Pelodiscus sinensis: one gene and its partners. The protein of the gene in region 4 purifies or fractionates together with the protein of the main gene of each other region. This does not show direct contact. Links are inferred from orthologs where the notes say so. Each region holds a gene or a part of one and is shown on either strand. Other genes may lie near its edges.

Evidence for each region.
Region 1: the proteins of COPS6 (region 4) and BTBD2 purify together in Homo sapiens (affinity purification with mass spectrometry; 4 studies listed by BioGRID and IntAct, counting the BioPlex papers as one, with this or other methods). This does not show direct contact. The link is inferred for Pelodiscus sinensis from reciprocal best matches to the Homo sapiens genes COPS6 and BTBD2.
Region 2: the proteins of COPS6 (region 4) and KLHL18 purify together in Homo sapiens (affinity purification with mass spectrometry; 3 studies listed by BioGRID and IntAct, with this or other methods). This does not show direct contact. The link is inferred for Pelodiscus sinensis from reciprocal best matches to the Homo sapiens genes COPS6 and KLHL18.
Region 3: the proteins of COPS6 (region 4) and CUL4B purify together in Homo sapiens (affinity purification with mass spectrometry; 8 studies listed by BioGRID and IntAct, counting the BioPlex papers as one, with this or other methods). This does not show direct contact. The link is inferred for Pelodiscus sinensis from reciprocal best matches to the Homo sapiens genes COPS6 and CUL4B.

The regions. Positions count from the first base shown.
Region 1 is NC_134729.1:27,664,240-27,671,978, reverse strand, and holds the start of BTBD2 (BTB/POZ domain-containing protein 2), read right to left. Parts: upstream 3,002-7,739; coding exon 2,652-3,001; intron 1-2,651.
Region 2 is NC_134712.1:255,873,338-255,880,338, reverse strand, and holds the start of KLHL18 (kelch-like protein 18), read right to left. Parts: upstream 3,004-7,001; 5' UTR 2,886-3,003; coding exon 2,751-2,885; intron 1-2,750. Other genes in the region: kinesin-like protein KIF9, read left to right, coding at 6,735-6,792. UniProt on the Homo sapiens protein: Substrate-specific adapter of a BCR (BTB-CUL3-RBX1) E3 ubiquitin-protein ligase complex required for mitotic progression and cytokinesis.
Region 3 is NC_134723.1:33,773,098-33,780,428, reverse strand, and holds the start of CUL4B (cullin-4B), read right to left. Parts: upstream 3,019-7,331; 5' UTR 2,902-3,018; coding exon 2,883-2,901; intron 1-2,882.
Region 4 is NC_134734.1:7,454,183-7,462,178, reverse strand, and holds the start of COPS6 (COP9 signalosome complex subunit 6), read right to left. Parts: upstream 3,013-7,996; 5' UTR 2,921-3,012; coding exon 2,854-2,920; intron 2,415-2,853; coding exon 2,289-2,414; intron 1,219-2,288; coding exon 1,087-1,218; intron 364-1,086; coding exon 275-363; intron 1-274. Other genes in the region: lysophosphatidic acid receptor 6-like, read left to right, coding at 5,984-5,992, 7,851-7,996. UniProt on the Homo sapiens protein: Component of the COP9 signalosome complex (CSN), a complex involved in various cellular and developmental processes.

The DNA of each region.
Region 1 (7,739 bases), on a different chromosome or scaffold from region 4:
ACCAGATTTCACAGGGGGGAGACCAAATTTCATGGTCCATGACTTGTTTTTCACGGCCATGAGTTTGGTAGGTCTCTAACCATAACCACCATCATGCTGGAAGAACTGGACACATCATTAAAAGATGACTCTAGCCCATGCACAAGAGCTAACTGTCTTGCCACAGCCCTCTTCTGCCACGCTTGTAGCAGTTCAGCCTACCTATATTTCAAGAGGGGACCTGCACCATGACCCCAGTGTTTCAACCTTTAGGCAAGTTGTAAAAGCAAGTGGATACCTTTAAGAAGTTGTACATGCCACCCCTGGATTTGTGTAATAGAGATGAGCATTTTTTTTAAAGCCTCCCATGTACATTAATAGATTAGGAAGACATGATCTCCCTTTACAGAAACTGTGTTGACTTTTGCCCAACAAATTATGTTCTTCTATGTGTCTGACAATTTTATTCTTTATTATTGTTTCAACTAATTTGCCCGGTACTGATGTTACACTTACCGGTCTGTAATTGCCGGGATCGCCTCTAGAGCCCTTTTTAAATATTAGCATTACATTGGCTATCTTCCAGTCATTGGGTACGGACGATGATTTAAAGGATAGGTTACAAGCCATAGTTAATAGTTCCACAATTTCACAGGTGAGTTCTTTCAGAACTCCTGGGTGAATGCCATCTGGTCCTGGTGACTTGTTACTATTAAGTTTATCAGTTAATTCCAAAATCTCCTCTAAGACACTTCAATCTGTGACAAGTCCTTGTCACCGACAGGTCAGGTTTGGGAATCTCCCTAACATCCTCACCAGTGAAGACTGAAGCAAAGAATTCATTTAGTTTCTCCTCAAGGACATCTTTAAGTGCTCCTTTTGTATCTCGATCGTCCAGGAGCCCCACTGGTTGTTTAGCAGGCTTCCTGCTTCTGATGTACTTAAAAACATTTTGTTACCTTTTCTGTCACCGCTGTTCCATCATGAGTCTGTAACTCACTGAACAGACTCCTGTTCAATGCCCAGTCAACAAAGGGTAACAGCCCCAGCTACAGATCTTGATTCCTCAGCTAAAGCCTGAGTCACTACACTCAGCTTTCTGCTCCTGAAGTGCCAATAGGGAGACACAAGATTGTGTGCTCAGTGGGCTATGGCTTCTCCAACCCACAACTGCTTTGCAGCCATTCCAAGCACCCCTTTAAAGGGCAGAGCCCCACTAACACCATGCCACACAGACCCCACACAGAGACAACTTGGGGGCCTGCATTCCCAGGCTGATCTGACACCTTAGTGCATCCTGCTCCCTCCACTCCAGCCATCACAGGCCTGGAAAGCAGCTCTGGGCCCTCTCAAGGCAGGAGGCCCAAACCCTGGGATGTGTTGGTGAGGCCTGGCGTGTGGAAGACCTAGGGGGGCAGGCAGGTGACCACACCGCCCAGAGGCATGGCAGAAGGAAGGGCGGCCCTCTCCTGCCTCACCATACCTGCGTCCAGGCTGGGGCCAGGTATCTAGCTGCAGGGAGCACCAGCGCAGCCCCCTGCTATGCAGAGCCCACGGAGGGGCGGAGGTTGAGGCTCAGCCTATGGCTCACCTCAACCGGTGTCCCGGACAGCGAGAGGAGCAGCAAGCCCCATGTGGGGGCCAGCATGGGATGCCTGCTCCACCCCACCTCAGTGGTCCCTACTTGTACACTGGGGTGGCCCACTGCAACCCCCCCTTGTATGCTTTTTGCCTCCTTCCTCTCAGGCTACCCACAAGTGGGCTGGGATGCTCCCCTACACCCCCTCCTTGGCACCGTCCCTTGGTCCCCTCCCACATACACACACACACCCCAGTCCCACTGCTCACCTGAGGGCTGGGATGCTCCCCTACCCCCCCTCCCGTGGGCCTCCTGATAGCCCCCCTCCCGGGCCCTAAACCCCTCCTTGTTCGCTCCACTGCATTCCCTGGGCCCTACATCCGCTCCCCCAGGCAGCCCAAGAGCCCACACCCTGGCACCCCCCTAGTCGCTACCCCCCCATTGCTCACATGAGGGGGGATGCTCCCCTCTCCCCCTGGGGCCCCACGCCCCCCTAGTCCCTACACCCCCCCGTTGCTCACCTGAGGGGGGATGCTTCCCTCCCCGCCCTGCCGGCCCTTGCCCACCTGAGGGGGGATGCTTCCCTCCCCGCCCCCCGCCCACCTGAGGGGGATACTCCCCCCCGCCCCTGAGGAGGATGCCCCCCCGGCCCTCGCCCACCTGAGGGGGATGCTGCCCCCCCACGCTCCTGAGGGGGATGCCCCCCCGCGTCCCCGGCCCCCTGAGGGGACTGCCCCCCCGGCCCTCACCCACCTGAGGGGGATGCCTCCCCCGCGCCCCTGAGGGGGATGCTCCCCGCCCCCCCGGCCCCCGCCCCCCCGAGGGGGATGCCCCCCCGCGCCCCTGAGGGGGATGCTCCCCGCCCCCCCGGCCCCCGCCCCCCCGAGGGGGATGCCCCCCCGCCCCCCGAGGGGGATGCCCCCCCGCGCCCCTGAGGGGGATGGTCCCCCCCCGCGCCCCCCCGAGGGGGATGCTCCCCGCCCCCCCGGCCCTCGCCCCCCTGAGGGGGATGCCCCCCCCGCGCCCCTGAGGGGGATGGTCCCCCCCCGCGCCCCTGAGGGGGATGCTCCCCGCCCCCCCGGCCCTCGCCCACCTGTGGGCCGGGATGCGCTGCGAGCCGCGGCCCTTGCCCACCAGGAAGTGCACGTCGCTGAGCACCTCGTTGTTGAAGAGGAAGGCGAATCGCTCCTGCACCGTGGGCTTGGTGGCCTGCCAGTTGTACACGGGCTCGCGCGGCAGCGCCCCGCCCCCGGGCCCCGCCGCCCCGGCCGCCGCCGCGGGGTTGCCGGCCCCGCACTGGTTGTAGGTGAGGCCCGGCGGCGCGGCGGGGGCGGGGGCGGGCGCGGGGGCGGCGCAGGCGGCGCCGTTGCCCGGGGGGGGCGGCGGCTGCGGGCCGGAGGAGGAGAGGCCCCCGGGGCCCCCGCCGCTCCCGCCGGCCGCCATCTTGTGCGCAGGAGGCGCGGGCGGGGCAGGGCGGCGCGGCGGCGGGCGCGGGGCGGGGGCGCTGCGGCGGCTGAGGCACAAGGCCGGGCAGCAGCGGCGCATGGGGCTCGGGCGCGGCGGCGCGCGCAGGGGGCGGGGCGTGGGGGCGTTGGGGGGCAGGTAGGGGTGGGGGGGTATGGCAGGGATGAGGCCGGGGGGGCAGTGGTGGCCATGAGGAGGGTGGGAGATGGAGGGTGGGGTGCGTGGGGGTGAAGGGCATGAGGAGGGTGGGAGATGGAGGGTGGGGTGCGTGGGGGTGCAGGACATGAGGAGGGTGGGAGATGGAGGGTGGGGTGCGTGGGGGTGAAGGGCATGAGGAGGGTGGGAGATGGAGGGTGGGGTGCGTGGGGGGTGCAGGACATGAGGAGGGTGGGAGATGGAGGGTGGGGTGCGTGGGGGTGAAGGGCATGAGGAGGGTGGGAGATGGAGGGTGGGGTGCGTGGGGGTGCAGGACATGAGGAGGGTGGGAGATGGAGGGTGGGGTGCGTGGGGGTGCAGGGCATGAGGAGGGTGGGAGATGGAGGGTGGGGTGCGTGGGGGGTGCAGGGCATGAGGAGGGTGGGAGATGGAGGGTGGGGTGTGTGGGGGTGCAGGGCATGAGGAGGGTGGGGTGCGTGGGGGTGCAGGGCATGAGGAGGGTGGGGTATGTGGGGGTGCAGGGCATGAGGAGGGTGGGAGATGGAGGGTGGGGTGCGTGGGGGTGCAGGGCATGAAGAGGGTGGGGAGATGGAGGGTGGGGTGCGTGGGGGTGCAGGGCATGAGGAGGGTGGGAGATGGAGGGTGGGGTGCGTGGGGGTGCAGGGCATGAGGAGGGTGGGGTATGTGGGGGTGCAGGGCATGAGGAGGGTGGGGAGATGGAGGGTGGGGTGCGTGGGGGTGCAGGGCATGAAGAGGGTGGGGAGATGGAGGGTGGGGTGCGTGGGGGTGCAGGGCATGAGGAGGGTGGGAGATGGAGGGTGGGGTGCGTGGGGGTGCAGGGCATGAGGAGGGTGGGGTGCGTGGGGGTGCAGGGCATGAGGAGGGTGGGGAGATGGAGGGTGGGGTGCGTGGGGGTGCAGGGCATGAGGAGGGTGGGAGATGGAGGGTGGGGTGCGTGGGGGTGCAGGGCATGAGGAGGGTGGGGTATGTGGGGGTGCAGGGCATGAGGAGGGTGGGGTATGGGGGCAGGAGAAACGCAGGAGGGGAGAGGTCAGGCTTGAGGCCTGCATTGGGGAGTGGGAAGGGAGAGGCAGGGCAGGAGGGAGAGGTGTGAGGGACAGGAGAGTGGGGAATGGAGGAGGGGGCGGGGAGGCCACGAGGAGATTGGGAGATCGAGGGTAAGGGTTAGGGAGACCTGAGTGTGGGGGCGATGAGGAATGCAAGGAGAGGGGTATGTTAGGTGTGAGGCCTGTGGGGGGCGCAGTAAGGAGAGGGAGAGGTGGGAGGGAGGAGAGACATGCAGGAGGGGGGAGTCTTAGGGGAGAGAAGGAATGAGGGGATGGAGGAAGCCCAGCAATGGGAACCTGAGGAACTTCTTGGTATTTCCATGTCAGTTACAAATTGTCTTGACTGCATGATTAGCCAGATAACCCTAATTTAACACCCTTACATCTCACCTTGGTGAGTGGAGGGCTTATGAGGAAGAGGCAGCTTCTCATGAAGGTTAGGTAGCCTGTTGGGGAAACAGCAACACTTCAGTGGCGGGTGACCTGCAGCCCAAAGGGTTCGACCGATGGCCTGCAGGACGTTTTGTTTACCATTGCCCATGCACAGAGTTGTCAGATTCCCCTGGTTTCTGTCAGCATCGTTTTTCTCCTGCCAGTATTACTAAAATAGAGCAAGGGTGCATGCAAGGAGGTGCGTGCTGATTGCACACAATGGTGACTGTGAGAACTAGGCACTCTCCCTGCATCCAATCAAGGCGCTGCTATGGTTTAATTGGCATACCCTGCAAATTCTAGGTATGCAAGCACTGTTAGGAAAACTACCCTATCCCACAAGACAGTCTTGGTTACAACAGTCTTGCGGTCCACTGAGATGAAGGAGGGCTACTCCTGTGGCCCACTCACTAGTCTACGTTTATCCCCTGAAGAATAAGCCTGAAGCACCATTCTGTCATCCCTTTGCACTGGTGCAAACCAACCTTTTCCAAAAGCCAGATACCAAAACTTCAGCAGCACCTCAAGGCTATGTTGATTACTGCTCTGCAATCCCTTACAATCCTTAGGCCAAGGAACTGATGCTCTGTGGCTGATGTACCTGCTCTTTTCTCTGTGTTCCTTATCTTCAGAGATACTGCTCGCCAATAAGCTGATACCTCATGTGTAACATCTGCTGTGTAGGCATGTATTTCACACCAACCTTGCACCTCACCTCATTGTACGCTGCTGCGGCCATGGAGATACTGTGGAAACGTGAATGCCTTGCAAGATAACACAGCAGGATGTGCATGCTGCCTGGCAGATGAGATAAATTATTTCACAGCCAGCCAATATTCCTTACATAGGAAATGGCAGGGATGTCAGAAGGAACCTGAAAGGCAGCAGATGGGCAGGTGCAGACAATCACAAGAGCCCATATTGGCCCAAACTTGATAGCCATTAAAACAAGGCGGCTACGTCTACACTGGCACCCTTTTCCGGAAATGCTTAAAACGGAACAGTTTTCCGTTATAAGTATTTCCGGAAAAAGCACGTCTACATTGGCAGGATGCTTTTCTGGAAAAGCACTTTTTCCGGAAAAGCGTCTGTGGCCAATGTAGATGCACTTTTCCACAAAAAAGCCCCGATCGTCATTTTTGCGATCGGGGCTTTTTTGCGGAAAAGACTGCTGTACTGTCTACACTGGCCCTTTTCCCGAACAGTTTTTCCAGAAAAGGACTTTTGCCCGAACGGGAGCAGCATAGTTTTTCCGGAAAAACACTGACAATTTTACAGTAGATCGTCATTGCTTTTCCAGAAAAGCAAGCGGCCACTGTAGACAGCTCGCAGCTTATTCCGGAAAAGCAGCTGCTTTTCCGGAATAAGTGGCCCAGTGTAGACACAGCCGGCGATTTTATTTGCCACAAAGAAGGGAATAAAACTCCCTGCTCCTCCTTGTTCTCTGTTCCATTGGTGACATTCTGCCTGTGGATGTACATACATACACATTTCAGAGCAGACTCTTTGTCCTTGGTTCCACCGGTTGAATAACTGCTCAGCCAGGAGGCATATTTTCTTCCCCTTGTTTTTCTGTGGTTTTGATTCTTGTTTGCTTAATCCACAATGACACACTGTTTATATGGGTCCAAAGCTCCAACCCCTCTGTGCGTCCCAGCAGTTTCACAGATAAATCACTGCATCAGCTAAGGAATACATCATTAGGGCATTGATCTAGTATCAAAAGCTTTCCCAACTCGTTTGGTAACAAATATATGGAGTCTGCTGTGGCGACGCCGACACTGAACAAAGAAGAATGGAGTATATAGCGGGGAGGTGAAAGTGTAACAGTGTACATGGTTAACCAGTGAGCCTGGGTTCCTCAGTTAACCTTGATGGTTAACACACAGGCTCCTGGTATGCACAGAGCCCGTGCGCACCAGCTCCCAGGGAGTAAATGTGTAACTGCTGAAATTTTCATAGGTTACACATTTACTTAATTAAATGCATTTTAACATCCCTAATCTATATGGACAAATTCTGCAGATGTGTGGCTAAAAATTAAGAGCCCAGTTTTGCAAATACAATATATATGTAAAAAGACAAAGTGGGTGATGTAACATATTGGATCAACTTCTGTTGGCAAAACAGACAAGTTTTCAAGCTTACATGGTGCTCTTTAGGGGTGCATTTACACTGCACCGGTTTTCTGGAATAACAGCCATTATTTGGGAAAAACTACTAGCGTTCACACTGCACTTGTGTTATTTTGACAGAAAGTCGAAATAACAGATGGCGGTAAACTTCATTCTATGAGGAATAAGCCCTTTTCTGAAAAAACGTTTTCGGAAGAGGGTGTGTATAGACACTCCACTGCTGCTATGTTGAAGTAGCTCCTCACCAGGGCCATTCCTCCGCAGTGCCTCCTGGGGCTCTAAGTCAAGACAGCGCGTCCACATTGGGGGAGCCTGCCTCAGACTAATTTGGAGGCGTCTCTGTAGTGTGCATGCTCTATTTTGAAATAAGCTTTTCCGGAAGATATCTGCCAGGAAAGCTTATTCCGAAAGAAGTTTGCAGTGCAGACGTACCCCAGGTCTGGGAAGGGTACTAAAGTGTCACAGCTAAATACAAGGGTACAAGAGATAAGGCTTTAGCACATCTGGCAAGAGACCATGGAGAAGTGGGCAGTTAATGTATCAATCATCACAGGACAAAGGATTAGTGGGTTACAGATTGTTGTAATGAGCCACTCGTCTAGTATCTTTATTTAAAATCAAGGAGTCCTGTGGCACCGTAAAGACTAACATTTATTTGGGAAAAACCGAGTGGCCCTGTAGCACCTTAGAGACTAACAAAAATATATAGATAGAATCATGAGCTTTAGTGAGCACAATCTGCTTCTTCAGAGGAGCAGAGCAAAAAGGAGAAAAACCCCAATTCTATATATTCTATATATTTTTGTTAGTCTCTGAGGTGCTACAGAACCACTTGCGTTTTTTTTTAAATTATAAACTAACCTGGCTACCTGTCTGAGATTTATTTGGGCATAAGATTTGGTAGACAAAGACCAACTTTGTCTTGGT
Region 2 (7,001 bases), on a different chromosome or scaffold from region 4:
TCCCCCATGTGATTCCATCCCCAGTCCGCCCTTTCCCCCCAGGGCTCCCCATCCCATCCCCATCCCCTACGGCTCCACATCCCAGAGTCCCACTATTCCCCCCAGAGCTCTGCAGTCCATCCCCTCCCCCCAGGGCTCCCGATCCCAACACCCCGCTACCCCCCCGCAGAACTCCCCCCAGGGCTCCCCATCCCAACACCCCGCTCCCCCCCCGCAGAACTCCCCCCAGGGCTCCCCATCCCAACACCCCACTGCCCCCCCCGCAGAGCTCCCCCCATAGGTCCCCTCCCCCCAGGGCTCCCCATCCCAACACCCCACTGCCCCCCCCGCAGAACTCCCCCCATAGGTCCCCTCCCCCCAGGGCTCCCCGCCCCAGCACCCCACTGCCCCCCCCCGCAGAACTCCCCCCATAGGTCCCCTCCCCCCAGGGCTCCCCATCCCAACACCCCACTGCCCCCCCCGCAGAACTCCCCCCATAGGTCCCCTCCCCCCAGGGCTCCCCGCCCCAGCACCCCACTGCCCCCCCCGCAGAGCTCCCCCCATAGGTCCCCTCCCCCCAGGGCTCCCCATCCCAACACCCCACTGCCCCCCCCGCAGAACTCCCCCCATAGGTCCCCTCCCCCCAGGGCTCCCCGCCCCAGCACCCCACTGCCCCCCCCGCAGAGCTCCCCCCATAGGTCCCCTCCCCCCAGGGCTCCCTGCCCCAGCACCCCACTGCCCCCCCCGCAGAGCTCCCCCCATAGGTCCCCTCCCCCCAGGGCTCCCCATCCCAACACCCCACTGCCCCCCCCGCAGAACTCCCCCCATAGGTCCCCTCCCCCCAGGGCTCCCCGCCCCAGCACCCCACTGCCCCCCCCGCAGAGCTCCCCCCATAGGTCCCCTCCCCCCAGGGCTCCCCATCCCAACACCCCACTGCCCCCCCCTGCAGAGCTCCCCCCATAGGTCCCCTCCCCCCAGGGCTCCCCATCCCAACACCCCACTGCCCCCCCCGCAGAGCTCCCCCCATAGGTCCCCTCCCCCCAGGGCTCCCCATCCCAACACCCCATTGCCCCCCCCGCAGAGCTCCCCCCATAGGTCCCCTCCCCCCAGGGCTCCCCATCCCAACACCCCATTGCCCCCCCCCCGCAGAGCTCCCCCCATAGGTCCCCTCCTCCCAGGGCTCCCCATCCCAACACCCCATTGCCCCCCCTGCAGAGCTCCCCCCATAGGTCCCCCCCCAGGGCTCCCCGCCCCAGCACCCCACTGCCCCCCCCGCAGAGCTCCCCCCATAGGTTCCCCCCCAGGGCTCCCCGCCCCAGCACCCCACTGCCCCCCCCGCAGAGCTCCCCCCATAGGTCCCCTCCCCCCAGGGCTCCCCGCCCCAGCACCCCACTGCCCCCCCCGCAGAGCTCCCCCCATAGGTCCCCTCCCCCCAGGGCTCCCCATCCCAACACCCCACTGCCCCCCCCTGCAGAGCTCCCCCCATAGGTCCCCTCCCCCCAGGGCTCCCCATCCCAACACCCCACTGCCCCCCCCGCAGAGCTCCCCCCATAGGTCCCCTCCCCCCAGGGCTCCCCATCCCAACACCCCACTGCCCCCCCCTGCAGAGCTCCCCCCATAGGTCCCCTCCCCCCAGGGCTCCCCCCCCCAGCACCCCACTGCCCCCCCCGCAGAGCTCCCCCCATAGGTCCCCTCCCCCCAGGGCTCCCCATCCCAACACCCCATTGCCCCCCCCGCAGAGCTCCCCCCATAGGTCCCCTCCCCCCAGGGCTCCCCATCCCAACACCCCATTGCCCCCCCCCGCAGAGCTCCCCCCATAGGTCCCCTCCTCCCAGGGCTCCCCATCCCAACACCCCATTGCCCCCCCCGCAGAGCTCCCCCCATAGGTCCCCCCCCCAGGGCTCCCCGCCCCAGCACCCCACTGCCCCCCCCGCAGAGCTCCCCCCATAGGTTCCCCCCCAGGGCTCCCCGCCCCAGCACCCCACTGCCCCCCCGCAGAACTCCCCCCATAGGTCCCCTCCCCCCAGGGCTCCCCGCCCCAGCACCCCACTGCCCCCCCCGCAGAGCTCCCCCCATAGGTCCCCTCCCCCCAGGGCTCCCCATCCCAACACCCCACTGCCCCCTCCTGCAGAGCTCCCCCCATAGGTCCCCTCCCCCCAGGGCTCCCCATCCCAACACCCCACTGCCCCCCCCTGCAGAGCTCCCCCCATAGGTCCCCTCCCCCCAGGGCTCCCCATCCCAACACCCCACTGCCCCCCCCTGCAGAGCTCCCCCCATAGGTCCCCTCCCCCCAGGGCTCCCCATCCCAACACCCCACTGCCCCCCCCTGCAGAGCTCCCCCCATAGGTCCCCTCCCCCCAGGGCTCCCCATCCCAACACCCCACTGCCCCCCCCGCAGAGCTCCCCCCATAGGTCCCCTCCCCCCAGGGCTCCCCCCCCCCAGCACCCCACTGCCCCCCCCGCAGAGCTCCCCCCATAGGTCCCCTCCCCCCAGGGCTCCCCATCCCAACACCCCATTGCCCCCCCCGCAGAGCTCCCCCCATAGGTCCCCTCCCCCCAGGGCTCCCCATCCCAACACCCCACTGCCCCCCCCTGCAGAGCTCCCCCCATAGGTCCCCTCCCCCCAGGGCTCCCCATCCCAACACCCCACTGCCCCCCCCGCAGAGCTCCCCCCATAGGTCCCCTCCCCCCAGGGCTCCCCCCCCCCAGCACCCCACTGCCCCCCCCGCAGAGCTCCCCCCATAGGTCCCTCCCCCCAGGCCCCCCCGCACCTTGAGGGTCACGTCGCAGAGCTTGCCCTGCCTCCGGATCTCGCCCATCACGCCGTAGCCCCGGCTGGGCAGGTCCCCCACCGAGAAGTGCACCAGGTCCTCGGGGTCCAGCTCCGGCTCGGCCGCCTCCAGCATCGTCCCGCCCGGCCCGGCCCCGCGCTCGCAGGGCAACGCGGGAGAGAGGAGCCGCCTCCGCCTCCGCTCGCGCCCGGCCCGCGCTGGCCCCTCCCGGCCGCCGTCACCAGCCGGGGCCCGACCCCCCTCACGCCCCCGCCCCGCCCCGCCCCTCCGCGGCGGAAATGCGCTCCCCGCTTCCGCCTTCCCTCCGAGCACGTTCCGGACGCGGCCGGAAGGGGCGGGAGTCATGGTAACGGAGTGTACAGCCCGCGGCCTCCGCTGCGCCCCGGGCCCGGGCAGCGACAGGAGCAGGCGGCGGCGGGAAGAGCGGCCAGCCCCGGTCAGTGCCGGGCCCCTGCCTGCGGCGGCACCGCCTCCCCGCCTCCCCCGTCGGCCAGCTCGCCCGCCCCCCCACCTCCCCGCCTCTGCCCTCATCGCCCCCCTGCTCCCTCCCCCAGCTCACCCGCCCCCCCACCTCTGCCCTCATCGCCCCCCTGCTCCCTCCCCCAGCTCATCCGCCCCCTCTGCCCCCTCCGCCTCTGCCCCCTCCCCATCGCCACCCCGCCCCCTCTGCCCCCCTCCGCCCCTGCCCCCCCATCGCCTCTGCCCCCCCGGCCCCTCCCCATCGTCCCCCGCCCCCCTCTGCCCGCTCCCCATCGCCCCCCCGCCCCCCTTGACCCTGCCGCCTCCCCATCGCTCCCCCCGCCCCCTCCTCCTCTGCTCCCCTTCTGCCCTCCTCTGCCCCTGCCCCTCCCCATTGCCACCCCGTCCCCTCACCCCCTCCGCCCCTGCCCCCCCCGCCCTCCTCCGCCTCTTCCCGTTCCCCATCGCCACCCCGCCCCCTCTGCCCCTGCCCCCTCCCCATCGCCTACCCCCGCCCCCTCTTCCCCCTCCCCATCGCCACCCCGCCCCCTCTGCCCCTGCCCCCTCCCCATCGCCTACCCCCGCCCCCTCTTCCCCCTCCCCATCGCCACCCCCGCCCCCTCTGCCCCTGCCCCCTCCCCATCGCCTACCCCCGCCCCCTCTTCCCCCTCCCCATCGCCACCCCCCGCCCCCTCTGACCCCTCCCCATCGCCACCCCTGCCCCTGCCCCCTCCCTATTGCCCCCCTCTGTCCCGTCTGCCCCTGGCCCCTCCCCATCGCCACCCCCGCTCCCTCTGGCCCCTCCCCCTCCGCCTCTGCCCCCCCTCTGCCCTCCTCCGCCTCTTCCCCCTCCCCATCGCTCCCCATCGCCACCCCGCCCCCCTCTGCCCCCTCCGCCTCTGCCCCCTCCCCATCGCCACCCCGCCCCCTCTGCCCCCTCCCCCAGCTCACCCACCCCCTCTGCCCCTTCCGCCTCTGCCCCCTCCCCATCGCCACCCCGCCCCCCTCTGCCCCCTCTGCCCCTTCCGCCTCTGCCCCCTCCCCATCGCCTCCCCACCCCCCTCTCCCCCTTCCGCCTCTGCCCCCTCCCCATCGCCTCCCCGCCCCCTCTGCCCCCCTCCGCCTCTGCCCCCTCCCCATCGCCTCCCCGCCCCCTCTGCCCCCCTCCGCCTCTGCCCCCTCCCCATCGCCACCCCGCCCCCCTCTGCCCCCTCCGCCTCTGCCCCCTCCCCATCGCCACCCCGCCCCCTCTGCCCCCTCCCCCAGCTCACCCGCCCCCTCTGCCCCTTCCGCCTCTGCCCCCTCCCCATCGCCACCCCCGCCCCCCTCTGCCCCCTCCGCCTCTTCCCCCTCCCCATCGCTCCCCATCGCCTCCCCACCCCCCTCTCCCCCTTCCGCCTCTGCCCCCTCCCCATCGCCTCCCCGCCCCCTCTACCCCCCTCCGCCTCTGCCCCTTCCCCATCGCCTCCCCGCCCCCTCTGCCCCCCTCCGCCTCTGCCCCCTCCCCATCGCCTATCCCCACGCCCTCTGCCCCTTCCGCCTCTGCCCCCTCCCCATCGCCTATCCCCACCCCCTCTGCCCCTTCCGCCTCTGCCCCCTCCCCATCGCCTCCCCGCCCCCCTCTGCCCCCCTCCGCCTCTGCCCCCTCCCCATCGCCTCCCCGCCCCCCTCTGCCCCCTCCGCCTCTGCCCCCTCCCCATCGCCTACCCCCGCCCCCCCTCCCCCTTCCGCCTCTGCCCCCTCCCCATCGCCACCCCGCCCCCTCTGCCCCTTCCGCCTCTGCCCCCTCCCCATCGCCTCCCCGCCCCCCTCTGCCCCCCTCCGCCTCTGCCCCCTCCCCATCGCCTACCCCCGCCCCCCCTTCCGCCTCTGCCCCCTCCCCATCGCCACCCCGCCCCCTCTGCCCCTTCCGCCTCTGCCCCCTCCCCATCGCCTATCCCCACCCCCCTCTGTTCCCATCCCCCTCTGCCCCCTCCCCATCGCCTCCCCGCCCCCCTCTGCCCCCCTCCGCCTCCTCCCCATCGCCACCCCGCCCCCCTCCCCCAGCTCACCCGCCCCATCACCCTCCCTCGCCCCCTCCGCCTCTGCCCCCTTTCCATCGCCCACCCCCGCTCCACTCCCCACCCTCCTCCACCTCTGCCCCCCTCCCCATCGCCTACCCCCGCATCTTTGTCTCCCCTGCCCCTGTCTCCCAGGCTTCCCCGTCCTTCTATCACCAAAACTGTCCCATCCCACCTCCTGCTGATCCCTGTCACTATCCCCACCTCCTAGGCATCCCATCCCCACTTTTGAGATACCCTCATTTCCCAGCCATCACTATTACCGTCTCCACTGGCCAACTATCTGTGACCCCCTGTCACCATCCCTGGGCCCATGTCTCCATCTCCCAGCCAACTCAGTCCCCCTTGATTCCCATCCCCATCCTTGTGTCTCACCTATCCTTACATTCCCAGCTCCCAGTCTTCCCCGTCCTTGTCCATGCCATCTCCATGTCACTGCCACCGTCCCCGCTTCCCACCTATCCCTGTGTTGCCACTTATCCCAGCCATTCCTGTCTATGTGTCTCACTGGTCCTGCATGATCACCGCCAACAACACACCCCAACAAACCCCTCACCGTCACCTCCTCCAGCCTCGCTTGCTGGATTGCATCATCCTCTTCCCCATTGCCCAGCCATCTCTATCTCATATTGCCAGCGCACCCATGTCTCCATGTCACCACCATCCTCACTCATCCGTGTATCATCTCTGAGTTCATCCCAGTGTCCCAGCTCTCCCAGGGCTCCTGCATCACCTCCTCTTCATGCTCTCACAGCCATGTGTTAGCATTGTCTCTCTAACCACGTCTCAGGCACTTCAACATGTGTCTGACTGCACAGTTGGGGAGATTGGAAAGGGGCTGTGGAATCTGGCACTTCTGTGTGGTTGGTTAAAAGCCTGTGTGAGTGAGTGATTGTTGGTAAAGTTGGCAGGCTGTGTGGCAGCCTGTGTGGAATGACCTTGGTGGGTCTCAATCCAGTGAAAAAGTGCCCATGTCACAGCCGTCACAGCCAACACAAATTGGCATCCTTGTTGCAGTCTGTCCAGAAAGGCCAATGCCTGAATGGGCCATAGTGGCTGAACTCCCATTCTTACGTGTAGCTGTGAACCTGCTGTCAATGGTAAAGAATCACAGGAGCCACTGTCTTCTAACACTGAATAAGGAATTTTATTTGAATAAGGAAAATTGCATTAGCCCTCTCTCACCTTTGAGCGTCGGCTTAGAACCTTCCCTAGCTCCCTTTTCCTACCTGTCTTCTTTCTACAGCCTTAAAGAAACAGTGCCCCTTTCCTCACAATTTTCTTGTCAAGGTAGAATCCCATTGCTATGAAAGATTACAGTACCAGTGCCTGAACCTTACCTGGTCTTTGGATTAAAAAAAACAACAACTGCACTGTCCTGGACCATCACTAGCACTGACTCCATGTGAGAGTCATAGCCCAGAAACCGCTGGCCTGAATAGTCATGTGTATCTGTTTAATCTCCTCCAGGTGTCCCCACAAGCCATTATCCCTATTCATTGGTGAGTATATGCGTCAGATGAGATGGTGAGAATCTTCCAATCTCAGAGCCTAATCCCATAAATCCGTAGCTGGCGCGACCATCATTCAGTCCTGTGGGAATTTAGTGCATCTCAGGCTCACAGGATTGTATCCTAATTTAGACTAACATTATGAAGTAGACCCAATGTCTGACATATCACCAGATAGTGGTCAGAGTGTGGAAAGGTTT
Region 3 (7,331 bases), on a different chromosome or scaffold from region 4:
ATGTTATGCTAAAAAAAGATAACACTAACGTTTCTTGACAGAAAGCATGGTTTACAGAGATCTGGAAGAAATTTTACCGAGTTTTGCTGGAAATCTTTTTTTGTCTGAATACTAGAAATAAAGAGCTCAGACTTAAAACCTTGCATTTTTTCCATATGCAAGATATTTTGGAAATTGCTTTTGAGCCGATGTGTAATAGAATAAGTGTGCAATTATGTGGTTACTAATAGTGTAATAAGAAAGGTAAAATATAAGTGTTGCTTTTATTACTTTTTAGTCTAGTTAGTTTAGCTAGTCTTTATCAGTTTGCTCTTCCCTGTCTGCTTCTTCATGTCTCCGAAGCTATTTGAGAATTTTAAATGCTGTATACTTAGAACTAGGGATGTAAAATGCTATTTCATTGGTTAACTGATTAAACAAATTGTTTAACTGGTTAACTGAGTAAAGGGAGGGGGCGTGCCCCAGCCCAGTTGGGGTGGAGCAGTCTTGCTACCCCAGTGCTGCTTCTCCTCTAGGGATGTAAGAGAGCAGTCAAATTCTTGACTACCCGATAAGCCTAGGCTGACTACTTGCATTCCCTCCTGCCCCTTGCAGCCTCTGTATGAGGGGCATCAAGGGGGGGAAGCAGGAACCATTGCTGGGAGGAGCTGATTTAAAAGCCCGTTCCCCCAGCACCGTCTCTCTGGTGAAGCCTTCCCCTCCCCTGTGCGGCTGCCTCTATCAGGTACAGCAGTGTGTGTGTAGTGGGGGGAAGGAGAGGTTGGCCGCAGTGGGCTCAGGCTCGCAGTGAGCAGAGGCTGCTCCAGCAGCAGTCCCTGTCTGCGAGGGGTAGAGGGTTGGGGGTGGCTGCTGGACCTGATGTGAAGACTGAGCAAGCTTGGCTCAGTCCCAGTTTGTAGTGGGTTTGGGACCTATCCTTGCTGCAGCTCTGCATTTTAAGTGTACAGATTGAGCCTCTCTAGTTCGGCACCCTTGGGACTTGACCAGTTCTGAACGAGAGGATTTTCTGGACTACAGGAAGTCAGTATTGTCTAGCAGCATTACCAACACTTCCACTGAGAGCTAGGACTGGTGGCTGTAAACAAACTTTATTGGACTGTGGGAAACTTGGCCACATCCATGAAAGGTGGACATCCAGCTAACTAAAATCATTCTGGACAACAGATGTTTCTGGATGAGAGAGTACTGGATTAGAGAGGTTCAACCTGTAGTAAAATGTGCACCTGGCTCTGACTATATTTAAAATGCAGAGCCATAGCTGTGGTAGGTCCTGGACCCGGCTCAAGTTGGGACTGAGCTGGGCTGCCTGCGCACCCAGCTCTTACTACATTTAAACTGCAAAGCTGCATTGGAAGTAGCTCTTACATCTGGCATGATCTGGGACTTAGCACCTTCCCCTATAGACTAATTGTGTAGTCAATACAATTACCTGCCTCTTAACATCCTGACTGTCCTCTCCTCCCCTGCTGCAGACAGTGGCTGCTCTGGACAGGCTGGAGTAGCCCCTGCCTGCAGGTGCCTGGGCCCACTGTGGATGGGGCTGCCATGGCAAGTGGGGAGCTGCTCTAGGCCACACTGTTTAACTAGTTAACCTTTCACATCCCTATTTAGAACCTGCTAGGTGATTTCATTTGGAGTTGAGAGTGCAAAGTAGCTTGCATGAGGTACTCAGTGTAGAAATGCCACTGCTAATTAAGGTGTTATGCAAGCTAAGAAACAGGGAGTGCCCTGGCTTCCGTGTAAATCTTGGTGAGATTAATAATGATGAACAGTTGCATTACAAAACTTCATTATAAATGCTTTGGAATTTATTCAGTCTATATGCAAACATTCCAATCATGCAAAAATTAAAGTAGCCTTGAAGTCTTGGTTTGCAGATGTGCCTCCAAAGACACTCATATGCAGAAAAGAACCTGGGAGAACTGAAAAACAGAGGTGGTGGATATCCTGTTTTGGAACCCAGTGAGACAGAAAGAGTTCATCTTATCAGAAGACGGGAGATACTAGTTTCCTGGTGGAAGCCTTTTGTGTGATCCCTGTGGCCAAATTATGCTCTCAGTTTTACTGGTTATATATTTAGGTACACTGAAATCATTCCAGGTTTATGGCTGTGTTATTGGGGGCAACATTTGGCCTGTTCTTCATGCTATTTGCATATTGTGTGAATACAGTAATTTCTTAACTGTAGCCCTCTAAAAAAGGGTAACCATGTCTAGCAAGGCTATGCTTACTAAGATGTAGCTGTATTACAGAAAATAAATGTCTTCCACAAAGCTCAAAGAAAATCCTCTTGGAATAGTTAGTGTCAAATTTCCCCCTTGTTTATACTCCAGTGAGAGAATAACAAGACTATTTGTATTGAATGAGGTCCCTAATTATTTTTTTCAAATGAGACTACAAATAATTGCTTTTTAAATTACTTATTTATATACTTGAGTATTTATATAATGTTGGAATTCCTTAATCTCTCTGAATTTCATATATTTATCATTTCTCCATGAGTATGTTTATTTTACCATTTGAATAAATGTTGCTTTTTATGCAGGTATCATTTTATACTGTGTATCATAGTTATAATTTTATTAAACATTAGGCCCTAGTAAATTGTACAGTATCAAGGTTGTTCAGTTCACTTTGCCTAGAAAAATAACCTAGCAGTTTGCATACTCAATGGGTTTGATCCTGTTTTCACTGAAGTCTATTAGAAATCTACCATTGGCTTCTATAGGAGCAGGATTGGAGCTCATCTGTATGTTTTCCTTTTTCTATCAGCTGTATAAAGAACAAAAGCATTTATGTCTAGTCTGACCCAATAAAATATTGATGGATACTTAAATTAATCTATTGTAACTTATTTAATCTATGATCTTTGTGCTAATTACCATGGTGGTGACTGTACATCCAGTTATCAGAACCATCACCAGATACGCTATAATTTGGTCCTAATCAAATATATAAAACATAACTGTCTTCACCAGAACCCATTCCCCCTTCCAGCAGCTGGGATCTTCATAGGAGGCCACTGTTGTTCCACTCCACCTCGACCTTCAGAAATGGCTCTTTAACTTTCCTTACCTTTGGTGCCAGGATCTCCTCCAGTGACACACTCCCTAACCAGTGTCAGTGTTCAGTCTTCAAGAAACGGATCTTTTTCCACCCTGCAATACATGGGGCCTTATTTGGAATTCAGAGGGGAGAGAAGGATAGCTTTTGTTCTGTTAATTTTTAAGACTATTTTGTAGTTTCAAAATACTCTGTGTTGAATAATGTTAATAATTACTTCTCCTTTCTTTTTGATGGACTATTTTTTGAGTGTGGGGAATAACACCCAGGAAAGTAGTGTTAAGGCTGCAAGTAACAAACAAGCAATGCTTCTGAAAGCATAATGAAGGCTTTGTTGTGCAATAGCTAGTAAAATTTTTATAGTGGTACATAAGACAACATTTCAATTCATGTATCAGGATGTAGTCAGATGTTAGTAATTAACAAGGAAAAATAATGTGGAACCATTACAGTGCAGTAGGTTTGTGATCAATTTAGGATGTATTTATCTGCTAATTTTACAAAATTACATAAAAATGTAAAATAGAAGCCTTCCTTTTTGAGAACTTAAGGTCTCTGTCCAATGTATCTTACTGTGAAATCTCAACCCTAGCATCAGAGAAATATAAGAATTGTCATACCTGATCAGACCGGTATTCCTACCCATCCGGTATCCAGTTTCTGATAGCTGTCATTGCCAGATGCTTCACAGGAAAGTGTAAAGAAAGATTGAAGAGTTATGGAATAACCTGCTCACAGGGAAAGACTTTTCCTAATACCTCTCATGCAGAAGTTGGCTTATGTTCTGAAGCATGATGATTTATATTGTAAATCATATAATGGATATCAATAGAGGGCCTATTGCTAAAATTGGTTTGATAATTACTGATTTGGGTTTGAGCATGGGTTCATTAGCATCTAGAGCAGAGATTTCCCACCAGGGAAGTGCTGTTCTCCATTCTGTATGCAAATAAAGATGTCTGTCTGTCCTCTCCTGTCTTCCATGCTGTTGTATAGGGGTGTTTACTTAATCCTATCACCCTTGTCTAGAGGGTTTAGGTGTGTCTTCCTCTGTCTTTGTCTTTGGTTCAAGCAGAGGGCTGGAGTGAGGTGGGTGTCCTCCATGAGCACCACACCCTGGTTCCCCAAGAACACAGAGCTTGTAGGTAACAGAAGTCTACTGTCAGGACAGCACTTATGCAAGTGTGCAGGGCAATAAATCATATTTTGCTGTGTAGGACTGGGAGTCTGAGAAATGTGGATGACATAAATAGTGGTTGACTTTGCTGAAATGGTCTTTCTAAACTGGCGGGGCAATTGGCACATGTATTCCCATTATAGCGCCACCCCGCCTGCCACAGACTACATCAATCGGAAGGGTACTTCTTCATGAAGCTTCAGGCACCTGTGGATCACTGTAGGCATTTCACAGATATAAATATGGGGTGGTTGGAGAAGTGCACGATGCATGCGTTTTCAGGAACAGTGGCTGTACAGAAAGCCTCAGGCTGACTTTCTTTCCATAACAGAAAATTAGTGGAGGAAGTGGAAATGATCCTAGGTAACCCCAACTTACCCCTTACAGACCTGGCTCATAAAGCCTTACAAGGGGCACTTCAACAGTAGTAAGAAGCGGTTCAGCAACAGGCTAAGCTGATGCCACATTGCTGAATGTGCCTGTGGGAGACTGAAAGGGAAATGGAGGTGTCTCAGTGGACTTTTTGGAGGATCATATCCCCAAGATGGTGGCTGCATGCTGTTGCTCATATAATTTGTATGAGAGTTAGGGTGAAGTGTTTGCCTGTGGGTGGAACAGTGAGAGACAGCACCCAGATGCACAGTTTGAACAGCCAGACAATCATGCTGTCGGAGGAGCCCGTAAGATGGCTTATCAATATCAGGGAGGCTTTGAGGAACTACTTTGACAATAAGGGGCGCTGACATTTCTGTGTGTTGGGGTTGTATCCCTGCTTCATTCCACTGCTTATCCTGAAGAAGGCATTCCCATGAAACCCAGGGATTTTACAGGCTTCAGCCGGGGCCAGAGCAATTTCATAGAGGGATAAGGGATCTTTCGTAAAAGGCTTTATTTTCCGCAAGATCAGTGTCTAGACTGGCGCTTTTTTCTGGCAAAGCTCTGTGCCGAAAAAAAAGCGGCAGCCATTTTTATGCTAATGAAGCAGGGGAGATTTAAATTCCTGCTTCATTAGCAATTGCAATACGTCTAATTTACATCTCTTTTACGAAAAAGGGATGTAGTCTAGACGTAGCCAACCCGTCATGCTGTCAACTTCGACCTGGTCCTGAACCTAGGTTGGTATGCACTTTATTTGTGGGGAAGCGGTTGGTACCAAGATGTTTCTTAGCCAGGCATTCTGTTACAACTTCTCTGGAATGTGTTTGCAGCCTGTGCCTGGTACCTTTTGGCATTCTTTATGCTTGACCTGGCTTATATTATTTTTCTTTAGCCAAGCCTCTTTCCTGCCTCCGGTTTCACTGAGCCAAAGTCTTGTTCACTAGATTTCAGGCCTGCTGTTTTTATGTTACAGGCCTTTAACTTACTACAGGCCTAAGTGACTTGGCTATGATTGTCTATTAAGTCATCAAGAGAGCCAGGAACTTAACTGAAATTTCCTTCATGCCTACTTGGTACCAACTACAAGGCCACCCTCCCAAGTCTCCTCTTGTACGTGTGTTGATGGAGCCCTTTTTGCAGGAAAAGTTGGCCTTCTCCAATAACTTTTTTTCTCAAACCAATCTGCATGATATCTGACTCTGGTCTATTTTAGTGTGTGTGTTTTAAATTTTCCCAGTTTGAAGTGAATCAGATTGTTTTACAGATTTCTCACTTGAAAATAATTCAGACTTGTTATTTTGGAATTTCTCAAGAACTGCTTCTCTGAGAAACCACACCAAGGGTTAGTCTTCAATGAAAGTGAGTTCCTTTTGAATCTCCCCCCCCCCCCCCGCCCCCTGCCCCATAGTAGTCAGAAAACTCTTAGTTGCAATTCATTCAGCTTCATCCTCATGAAGCTATGGGAGAGAGAAGGCATAATTTGCTGTCATGTGCAGCAGGTAGTAGAATGTTCCCTAAGGAAACATGGATTTCAGTACAAGCATGGAGGACTTGGGTATTTGTCTTATGGTATAGATATTGACACTACCAACCTGTTTGCCACATAGTAGGATTTAGAGCAGGGATGGGCAAATTCCAGCCTGCAGGTTTAGTTCCTGGTGGGCCCCAACCTCCATATTTACCTGTGCTTCGACAGGTATCCACGGATTACTGTCCACAGACAATGAGAGCACCAGGAAGCACTGTCCCAGTCTGCCTCTCCCCCAGCCGCCTTTCAGTTGACTGAAATAGGCAATCTGTGGCCCACCCCTGATTTTGGTGCCATGGCCTCATTTCCCCTCCACTGTACCCTCCCCCCCAAATTTGTCCTTTCTCTCCTTTGCCATCTGAGGGTACGTCCAGACTACATGCCTCCGTCGACGGAGGCATGTAGATTAGCCAGATCAGCAGAGGGAAATGAAGCCGCGATTAAAATAATCGCGGCTTCATTTAAATTTAAATGGCTGCCCCGCTCTGCCGATCAGCTGTTTGTCGGCAGATCGGGGCAGTCTGGACGTTCCCGTCGCCAGAAAACCCTTTTGTCGACCGCCCCGTTATGCCTCATCCCACGAGGCATAACGGGGCGGTCGACAAAAGGGTTTTCTGGCGACAGGGGAACGTCCAGACTGCCCCGATCTGCCGACAAACAGCTGATCGGCAGAGCGGGGCAGCCATTTAAATTTAAATGAAGCCGCGATTATTTTAATCGCGGCTTCATTTCCCTCTGCCGATCTGGCTAATCTACATGCTTCCGTCGATGGAGGCATGTAGTCTGGACGTACCCTAAGTTAGAAGATAGCATTGGGGCATGTTGACTTCTTAAACGTGCTTTTCAGTCTCTAAGTGGCAGAGCCTGAGTCCACGCACTTCAGGAAGTAACTCCTTCGCAGCGGGGAGGAATAGCTGACTGGTGTGAGCATGGGCCTGCTAAAACCACAGTTGCGAGCACAAACCTTAAGGGGGCTATTTAGGGAATCGGGGGCAAACTCTGCCAGGGATGGTTCTCGGTCCTGCAGTGAGGGCAGGGGACTGGTCCCTTCCAGCGCTATGAGACGGCTAGGTATAGCTCCATAGACCAGCACTGTAACCAGGGTTCCCCACAGCCAGCCCGAGGAAAGGTGCGGGCTTGCCAGACAGAGGGAGCGGGGCTTGCAGGGGTTGCGACGCGCACGCG
Region 4 (7,996 bases):
CTGGCACAGCAAGCAAGAGCTCCCAGGGGGGTGAGGGGCAGCTCCAAGGCAGAGGGTAGGAGCAACATGGCAGTGCTGAGAGGGGTAGATGAAGTGCCAGTACTTGACAGCCTCCTAGCCAAACCAGTCAGGATCAGCTGTCAAAGGCTCTAGTGATCGTGGGAGAGGAGAGGGGCTGGAAGCTAGGACTCCTGGGTTCTTTCCCCAGTTCTGGGAGAGAAGTGGAGGCTGGTGGGTAAGAGCAGGGGTCTGGGAGCCAGGAGAGGGGGCTGACCTGTTTGTGGACGTGGATGTCAGACTGGTCCGGGGGGCCGCCTGTTGTGTACCAGCCCAGAAATTCCAGATCCTTGAAAACCTGTTTGACTGTGGGGTAGGGAAAGAGAGGAGCAGGATCAGCAGATGGGCAGGGCAGCATGGAACCGGACCTGTCCCCAGACTGGAAATGTGCCCTGGAAGAGTTGAAAAGGCTAATTCCAGCCTGGCTGGGATCCCCCCTTGTACCAACCTGCACTGCTCAGGTTTTAGCTCCTGTTCTGCCCTAAGTCACAGCCTACCAGCACCGGTGCTGTCTCCCACATGCCTGCCCCCTTTCACCCCATGATGGCACTTCTGCACCTCACCTAACCAGAGCGCCAGCCGGGCAGGGGAAGGAGGGAACCACTTCTCCAAGCCCTGAAGCAGCAGGATGGCTCCCTCCTGCCCCTTGCATACCCTTTGTAAAATGGGGACCCAGAATAGATTGCCACAAGGGGTCAAATTCCCCTTCTGGCAGGGGGGCTGCTTACCATGCCCCCGTGCATATGTCATTGTGCTGCAGCATGTGGTGAGCTGTCCATCACCAGAGGCCCCTCTACCCTTTCCAGAGTCCCTGTTTTTCAGGGGCAGTCCCCCACCCCAGGGCTTTGGTCCCAGCTCGGGCACTTGGTAGCAGGCTGGACTGTGAGGCATTTTCTTTGCTGCTCACTGCTGCCCAGCCCCAGCAGTTACACCACAGAATAGCATCACTGACAGGCTTCCCTCAGTGATAACTGCAGCAAGTAGTGTCAAGATGGGTCCCCGCCAGCCTCCCATCTCCTGCACACTCACACTGCTCCTCCTTGGTGTAGTAATACTCCTTGTCGATGAGGGTGCTCTCCTCTGCCGCGTGGGACAGCAGCTCAAAGGAATTCATCACCTCGATGTTCCGGCCCTCCTGCCGCCCGATCAGTGCCCCAATCACTGACAGAGGGAAGCTGTGTTATGGGCCCAGGGGGGCTGACTGGGGACCTCTTAAATCAGGACCCCCACAGGCCTGGCACTCCTACCCCATCAAGGACTCATTGCTTCCTGAGCTGCTTCCTCCTTCCCTGGCTCAGTAGGGAGCATGTGGGGCCCTGGTGGGGGGCAGATTTGCTCTAATCTCTGGTATGGCATGAAGGCAGAGGCATGCAGGTAGGGTCAGCTGCTTGAGGAAAGGAGGAGGAGGAAGAGCTGGGACAGGATTCTGGGGCGTGTATCGGGGACGGGGGCGTGGCCAAGCAGAAGGAGCTGAGCCAACGGCAGAGTATGAGTGGGGAAGGGGCGGAGCTTCTGGATGAAGGGGGCATCAGACTGGGAACAGGTACCATGCTAGCCACGCAGGACCCAGCTGGTGTCATGACATGGGGATTGTGGAAGTTTTATTCTCTTTATGATGTTGCAGGTAGGTTCTACTGTCCTATAGTAACCCTGTGTGTGTGCCTCAGTTTCCCTGAGCACTCTACTAATACGTAGATGAGGATGAGAATTTGGGTGACAGAGCCTCCCCCACATGCAAATGGCTGATGCCTTCTGCAATCTGAACCCAGGAAGGGGGTGTTATCAGGTGACACTTTTTGCCTGGGAAGAAGACAAAGGCCAGAGGAGGGGCCTGGCTGGGGGGCATGGGACCAGGAGCTGGGAATGGCTTGCAGAGCTCCCCCTCCTCTCTAGATGGATTGTGCTGGCTGCTTCTAGTTTCTGGGGTAAGAAGTCTGTTCTACGCTGCATCCCTGTCAGTTATTAAACTTTCTGTCCTACCTACTGGCTGAGAGTCACTTCTGGTTGAGGATGGGCATGGGGGTGACTACCCCATAACTTTCAGTGACACTAGGGATTGGGCGCGTGGCTGCCTGAGCTGGTTAGGGGGAGGGGAGCCACTGTACTGGGCAGCTGCCCGAGTGGGGGAAGGGCTGATACCTTGCACAGGGTGGGGGGGCTGCCTGGGCAGGGACGGGGTTGATACCTTGCACAGGGTGGGGGGGCTGCCTGGGCAGGGACGGGGTTGATACCTTGCACAGGGCGTCCCTCCTGTGAGCGCATGCGGATCCAGTGGTCAGAGATGTTGAGGATCACGAGTGGGTGCAGGGCCACAGAGACGCTGCCCGTCACACCTGAGGCCATCACGGTGGGAAGCACTGGGGGGAGAGGCATGGTCAGTGGGGTGAGGGGCAGGAATCACAGAATCCCAGGGCTGGCAGAGACCTCAGGAAGCATCTGTCCAGCCCCCTGCCCAAGGCAGGACCAACCCAACTAAATCATCCCAGCCAGGGCTATGGGAAGAGATGGGGGAGGGGCGGAGCTCCAAAGAGAAGGGGGCGTGTATCGGGACGGGGGCGTGGCCAAGCAGAAGGAGCTGAGCCAACGGCAGAGTATGAGTGGGGAAGGGGCGGAGCTTCTGGATGAAGGGGGAACAGGCGAGGAGGGGCGTGACCTGAGAATGGGCGGTGCCAGAGTCTGAGGGAAGGGGGGGGCCGAGCCAGCGGGGAAGAGGGCGGAGTCCTGAGGAGGAGCGGCGCGAGTGACAACGGGAGGAATCTGGGGTGGAAGGCGCAAGGCCCCGCCCCCCCCCCGCACCTGCCGCGTCCACCTCCATCCCGCCGGCCCCGTTGCTGCCGGCGCAGGAGGCTCCGGCCGCCGCCATCTCGGCTCCGTGTGTCCCGACCCGGCGCCCGTACGCAGCTCTCCACTCCACGCATGCGCTCCCATCCCCGCACGCGAGGGGGGGGAGGAGCCAGGTGTCCTCAGCGCATGCGCAGCAGGAACCGGCCGGACTCCCTCCCCCAGATGCGCATGCACAGGAGGGGCTGTTGCGTCACCCTGGACTCCTGGGTTCTCCGCCCGGTTGCGTGGGCCAGGGCTGGGACCAGCCCCCGGGCTTCCCGCCTGGCCTCTGGGCTAATCGTGGTCTCACGCACTTGTGACACACCCATGTCACACACTCGTGTGAACGCACCCCCGCACGTGCGCCCCATCGGCACCGACACTCCTGCGCACGCGCACTGCAGTGCCGCCCCCCCCCCAGGTGGCATTCTCACCCCGCCCCCGCCGGGCGCCCGCGGCAGCAGGAAACGGACAAGCCGGTTACTTAATCTGGGGGAATTTCCCGGCACCGCCGGGCCAGTCAGCCAAAACCGAGCTATCACGTCGGGGGAGGGGTGAATAGGGGCGTATATTGTGTGTGCAGCTGTGCAAGGCACGTGTGAGTGTGCAAGGTGGCGCGAGTGTGCAAAGCGGTGTGTGTGGGCGTGCAAGTCATGTGTGAGCGAAAAGAGGCCTGCAGGGTGTGTGTGACTGCACAGTGTTAGGCCCTAGAAAATTAGGCCTAGTGCAGTTATGCTAAAGCAAATGTAACAAAGATTTCTGGGTAGTCCCTGGGCAGAACTGGAGATAGGTTCAAGCAGGGACGCACCCTACAGGCTTGCTCAAGTTGCAAACTGAAATAAGTAAAAAGCTGCATTTTTGTACCTGCTACGATAAGGAACAGTTTGTTTTGAGAACTGATAAGGAGACTCCCTGTTTCTACTTTCCCCCTGTTTGTTCCAAATTCCCTGTTTATGTTCTCCTTTGGCCATAACAAACTGTCTCCTTGTTGCCCAGTACCTATCTTTTGGGCTGATAAGAAATTGCTGATGCATTCTGAATTGCTTAAGGCCATGATGTATAGTTGGCCAGGTGTGCATGGATACTAAAAGTTTCTAACTGATAAAGAGGGGTGGGTTGCTTGGGCAAATAGTCTATGACATGATGGAACTGTCTATATAAGCCTGCCTGTTAATGAAATCGGGGCTGGTTCTCTTTGGAGACGGGCCGCTCTCTATTGTAAGTGCGCACTATTCAATAAAGAGCTTGTGATTGGATCTTGCTGGTGTTGCCTGTCTCTTTGCGGTCAGACAACGAACAGAGGCCGTCCGGGTTCGAGACCCCGACAACAGGAAGAAAGGGTACAAATATGCTGGTCTGCAGGGGTGTGTACCTTTGTATATATATGTTTCCATGGTGTGTAGGTCACTGTTTACATGACTGTGTCTTTGTGCCCCTATCTCGTGTGTCACTTTGCTTGGTGTGTTTTTGTGTTATGAGGGTCTCCGTTTGTTCTTGTATCTTGTGCAAGTGTGTTTGTTTTGTTTTTGTCACAATGTCTGTTTACTCGCCTTTGTGCATTTGTGCCTGTATCTCGTGTGGCCCTGAGTGTGCAAGAGGCAGTGAATGTGGGGGGGAGGGTACAGGGGATGACAGTGCCTGGGCCATGCACATACAGGCAGTCCCTGAGTTACGCGGATCAGACTTATGTCAGATCCGCAGTTACGAACGGGGCTTTTCTCGCCCCGGAGGACGGGAGCGGCGGGACGCCCAGATGCACCATGGTCTGCCGCCCTCGTCCTCCGGGGCGAGAAAAGCTGCTCCCCATCTCCCTGGTCTGCAGGGAGACGGGGAGCAAAGCCTTGGAGCACGCCCGCAGCGGGACAGCCCGGGCGCGCTTGAGCTGTCCCCCTGCGGGCGTGCTCTGCGGCTTTGCTCCCCGTCTCCAGACCAGGGAGATGGGGAGCAAAGCCTCGGAGCACGCCAGCAGTGGGACAGCCGTGGCGCGCCTGGACTGTCCCGCTGCCCGCGTGCTCTGCGGCTTTGCTCTGTGTCTCCCAGGTCAACAGACCAGGGAGACGGAGCAAAGCCGTGGAGGACTTGGGCGGTCCCGCCACCCCTGTCTCCCTGGTCTGCTGGGGGGGGGGGTGCAGCTAGTGCCCCCCCCCCAGCAGACCAGGCTTTTCTTGCCTACCCCTGGGGTAGAGCAGCTGGGGGCTGCCGGGTTGGTCCCGCAGCGCCGCTCCGGACCAACCCGGCAGCACCCCAGCTGCTCTGCCCCAGGCGTCCTGATTCAGCCGCTGCTGGACAGTTTCAGCAGCGGCTGAATCAGGACACCTGGGGCAGAGCAGCTGGGGTGCTGCTGGGTTGCTCCAGGAGCGGCGCTACTGGAGCAACCCAGCAGCACCCCAGCTGCTCTGCCCCAGGCGTCCCCAAGTCAGCAGCTGCTGAAACTGACCAGCAGCTGACTACAGGAAGCCCGAGGCAGAGTTGCTCTGCCCCAGGCTTCCTGGAATCAGCTGCTGATCAGTTTCAGCAGCAGCTGACTTGGGGACGCCTGGGTTTCTTAAGTTGAATCTGTATGTAAGTCAGAACTGGTGTCCAGATTCAGCTGCGGTTGAAACTGATCAGTTTCAGCAGCGGCTGATGCCAGTTCTGACTTGCATACAGATTGAATTTAAGAACAAATCTACAGTCCCTATTTTGTACATAACCCGGGGACTGCCTGTATATAGGGATCGGAGAACACTGCCGGGGAGCTGTGGCAGGTCTGTACGCTTGGTGTAATGCCTACCAGCTGGTGCCCCTCTGGCAGGGTGCCAGGTAGCATGCAAGATGCCCAGGCATAGACCAGCTGCCCCTTGGCAATAGAGCTGGGCAGCCTCACCCCAAACACATGAACCCCATAACCAGGACTTGCTGGGACCACCAGCAGCCCACTCAGGGCTGGGCTGAATTTACTGGGGATTGATCTGCCCAGGGTTAGGGTGTTCTCCTCCCACCCCTTTCTTCTGGGAACCTCCTCCCTGCTTGGAGAGAGGGGCAGGGCATTTCTCAACAGGGTGAGTCGAGCTGCTCAGTCTGAGACTGGACTCTACGGAAACAGGAGTAGGAGACGGTTCCCATGGCTGGGGTGAGTCACATAGCTGAGGGGGCTGGCACAGGGGTCTTCTGGCTTGAGGGACAGCGGAAGAAGGGCAGGGTGTCTGGGGCTGGCTGGAGGTAGCGGAGTCCAGGTCCTGAGAGGAGGATTGAGCAGGCAGAGGAGAGAGAAGTTCCAAGGAGGAGAAGGGGATTGATACTCCCCTCCTCCGGCTATGGCTATGGGAATGAAGGGGCCTCAGAACTGATACCTGGGAGAATTTTTAAGCTTCCCCCCACCCCCAGGTGTTCTGTCCCAAAGCTGAGCCAGGCTGGCAGATCTTTGGTCTGAAGCCACATTGTTTCTTCCCTTTGCCCATGGACCCTTTGCCCATGGGGTCTGGGACAGAGCAGGGTTCAAAATAGGATGGGGGGGGGGTCTCTGTGGAGATTCCAGAGCCCTCCAAGAGCAGGGGAGAGAACCCAGAAGTCCTGGCCCCCTGCTGTAACCACTAGATGGTGCTGGGGGCACTGGGGGATGGAGGGTTTAGAGCAGAGCGTGGCAATTCTTTGTCAAGTTGCTCCTGAATTTCTTTCTGCCCACCTGGATGCAGCTGGGCTCTGAGCCCGGCTTCCCCCTTTCCCACCCCACACCCCTGTCAGGCACTGAGCTTGACGGCTCCTGTTGGCCCCCACTCCTCCCCCAGCGGGGACCCGCCTGTTTGCTCAGCTGGCTGCAGAGCCCGTTAAGTGGCATTTTGGTTGCGACACTGGGTGCCAGGCTGTCCTGGGCTTTCCCAATATCCGCCTGCAAACCCTTCAGGGAAACCACAGGTCTCCCCCCAGGATCCCTCTGGGCCCAAGTGTGCCCAGGGCTCTGGGACCCAGGCCCCACCTGCACTAGGGATGTGATAGTGTAAATATGTGTTATCAGTTAACTCTCATAGTTGGATGCAACAACACCCCTCTCCCCGGATCAGAGTTAGCAGCATGGGGGCTCTCTGCACATATTGGCTCCCGCAGAGCCAGTATATGCCAGTATATGCCCCCCTTACTGCTGTCTGTGCTTTTAAGTTGGCTTCCTGTGTGCACCACCTCCTGCCTGTGTCTCCCCCCTCCCTTCCCTTCCCCAGTGCTACAGGTGGCTCAGTTTTTCAGCAGTTACATGTTTACCTAAATAAATGCATTTGAACATCCTTAACCCGCATCGGGGAGCTCAGCTCCTGAGGGGACATGACCCCTCACGTTGCCCTAGGGGCCCCCAGATGGGACACAAACAAAGCTGATTTCTGGGCCCCAGCCCAGCTGTGGCTGTCAAAACCAACTGGAAAGTGAAACTAGCAGACTGTGGGTTAGGAGTGAGGGGCACCGGCAGGGCTGGGCTGGCAGGGGCTGCACGTCAGGAGTGAGGGGTCAGCTTAAAAGCTGACTCCCTTGTGCACCGACCGGCTCCTGAGGAGTCAACTGCCACCTGGTGTCTGTCTGTGTAAAATTTCAGCAGTTGCATGGCTACTTAATTAGGCACATTTTAACATCCCTATTTGTGGGGCCACTGGCAGAGCTAGGGGGAAGCAGGTTTGGGCTGGCAGGGGCTGTGGTTTGTGTGTGAGGGGCACTGGCAAGGCTGGGGGGCAGGATTGGGTTGGTAGGGGCTGCAGGTCAGGAGTGAGGGGCACCAGCAGGGCATGGGGCAGGATTGGGTTGGCGGGGGCTGCGGTCAGGAGGGCTGGAGGGGCTGGAGTGAGGGCCACTGGCAGGACTGGAGAAGCTCAAGGCTGGGCTGATAGGGGTTGTGGGTCTGAAGTGAGGGATACCGGCAGGGCGGGGGGCAGGATTGGGCTGGCAGGGGCTGCAGGTCTGGAGTGAAGGGCACTGGCAGAGCCTTTCTAATCTCTCTCCCTTCCTCTCAGCCTTGGTGGTCCGTGGGTGTGAATGTCTCAGCGCTGCCCTCCAATGAGACCTCAGGCTGTGGGGAACAAGCCGACTTCCAGTATGTGCTGTTTCCTGTGGTTTACAGCCTGGTCTTTGTGCTTGGCCTGGCCGGAAACCTCTCTGT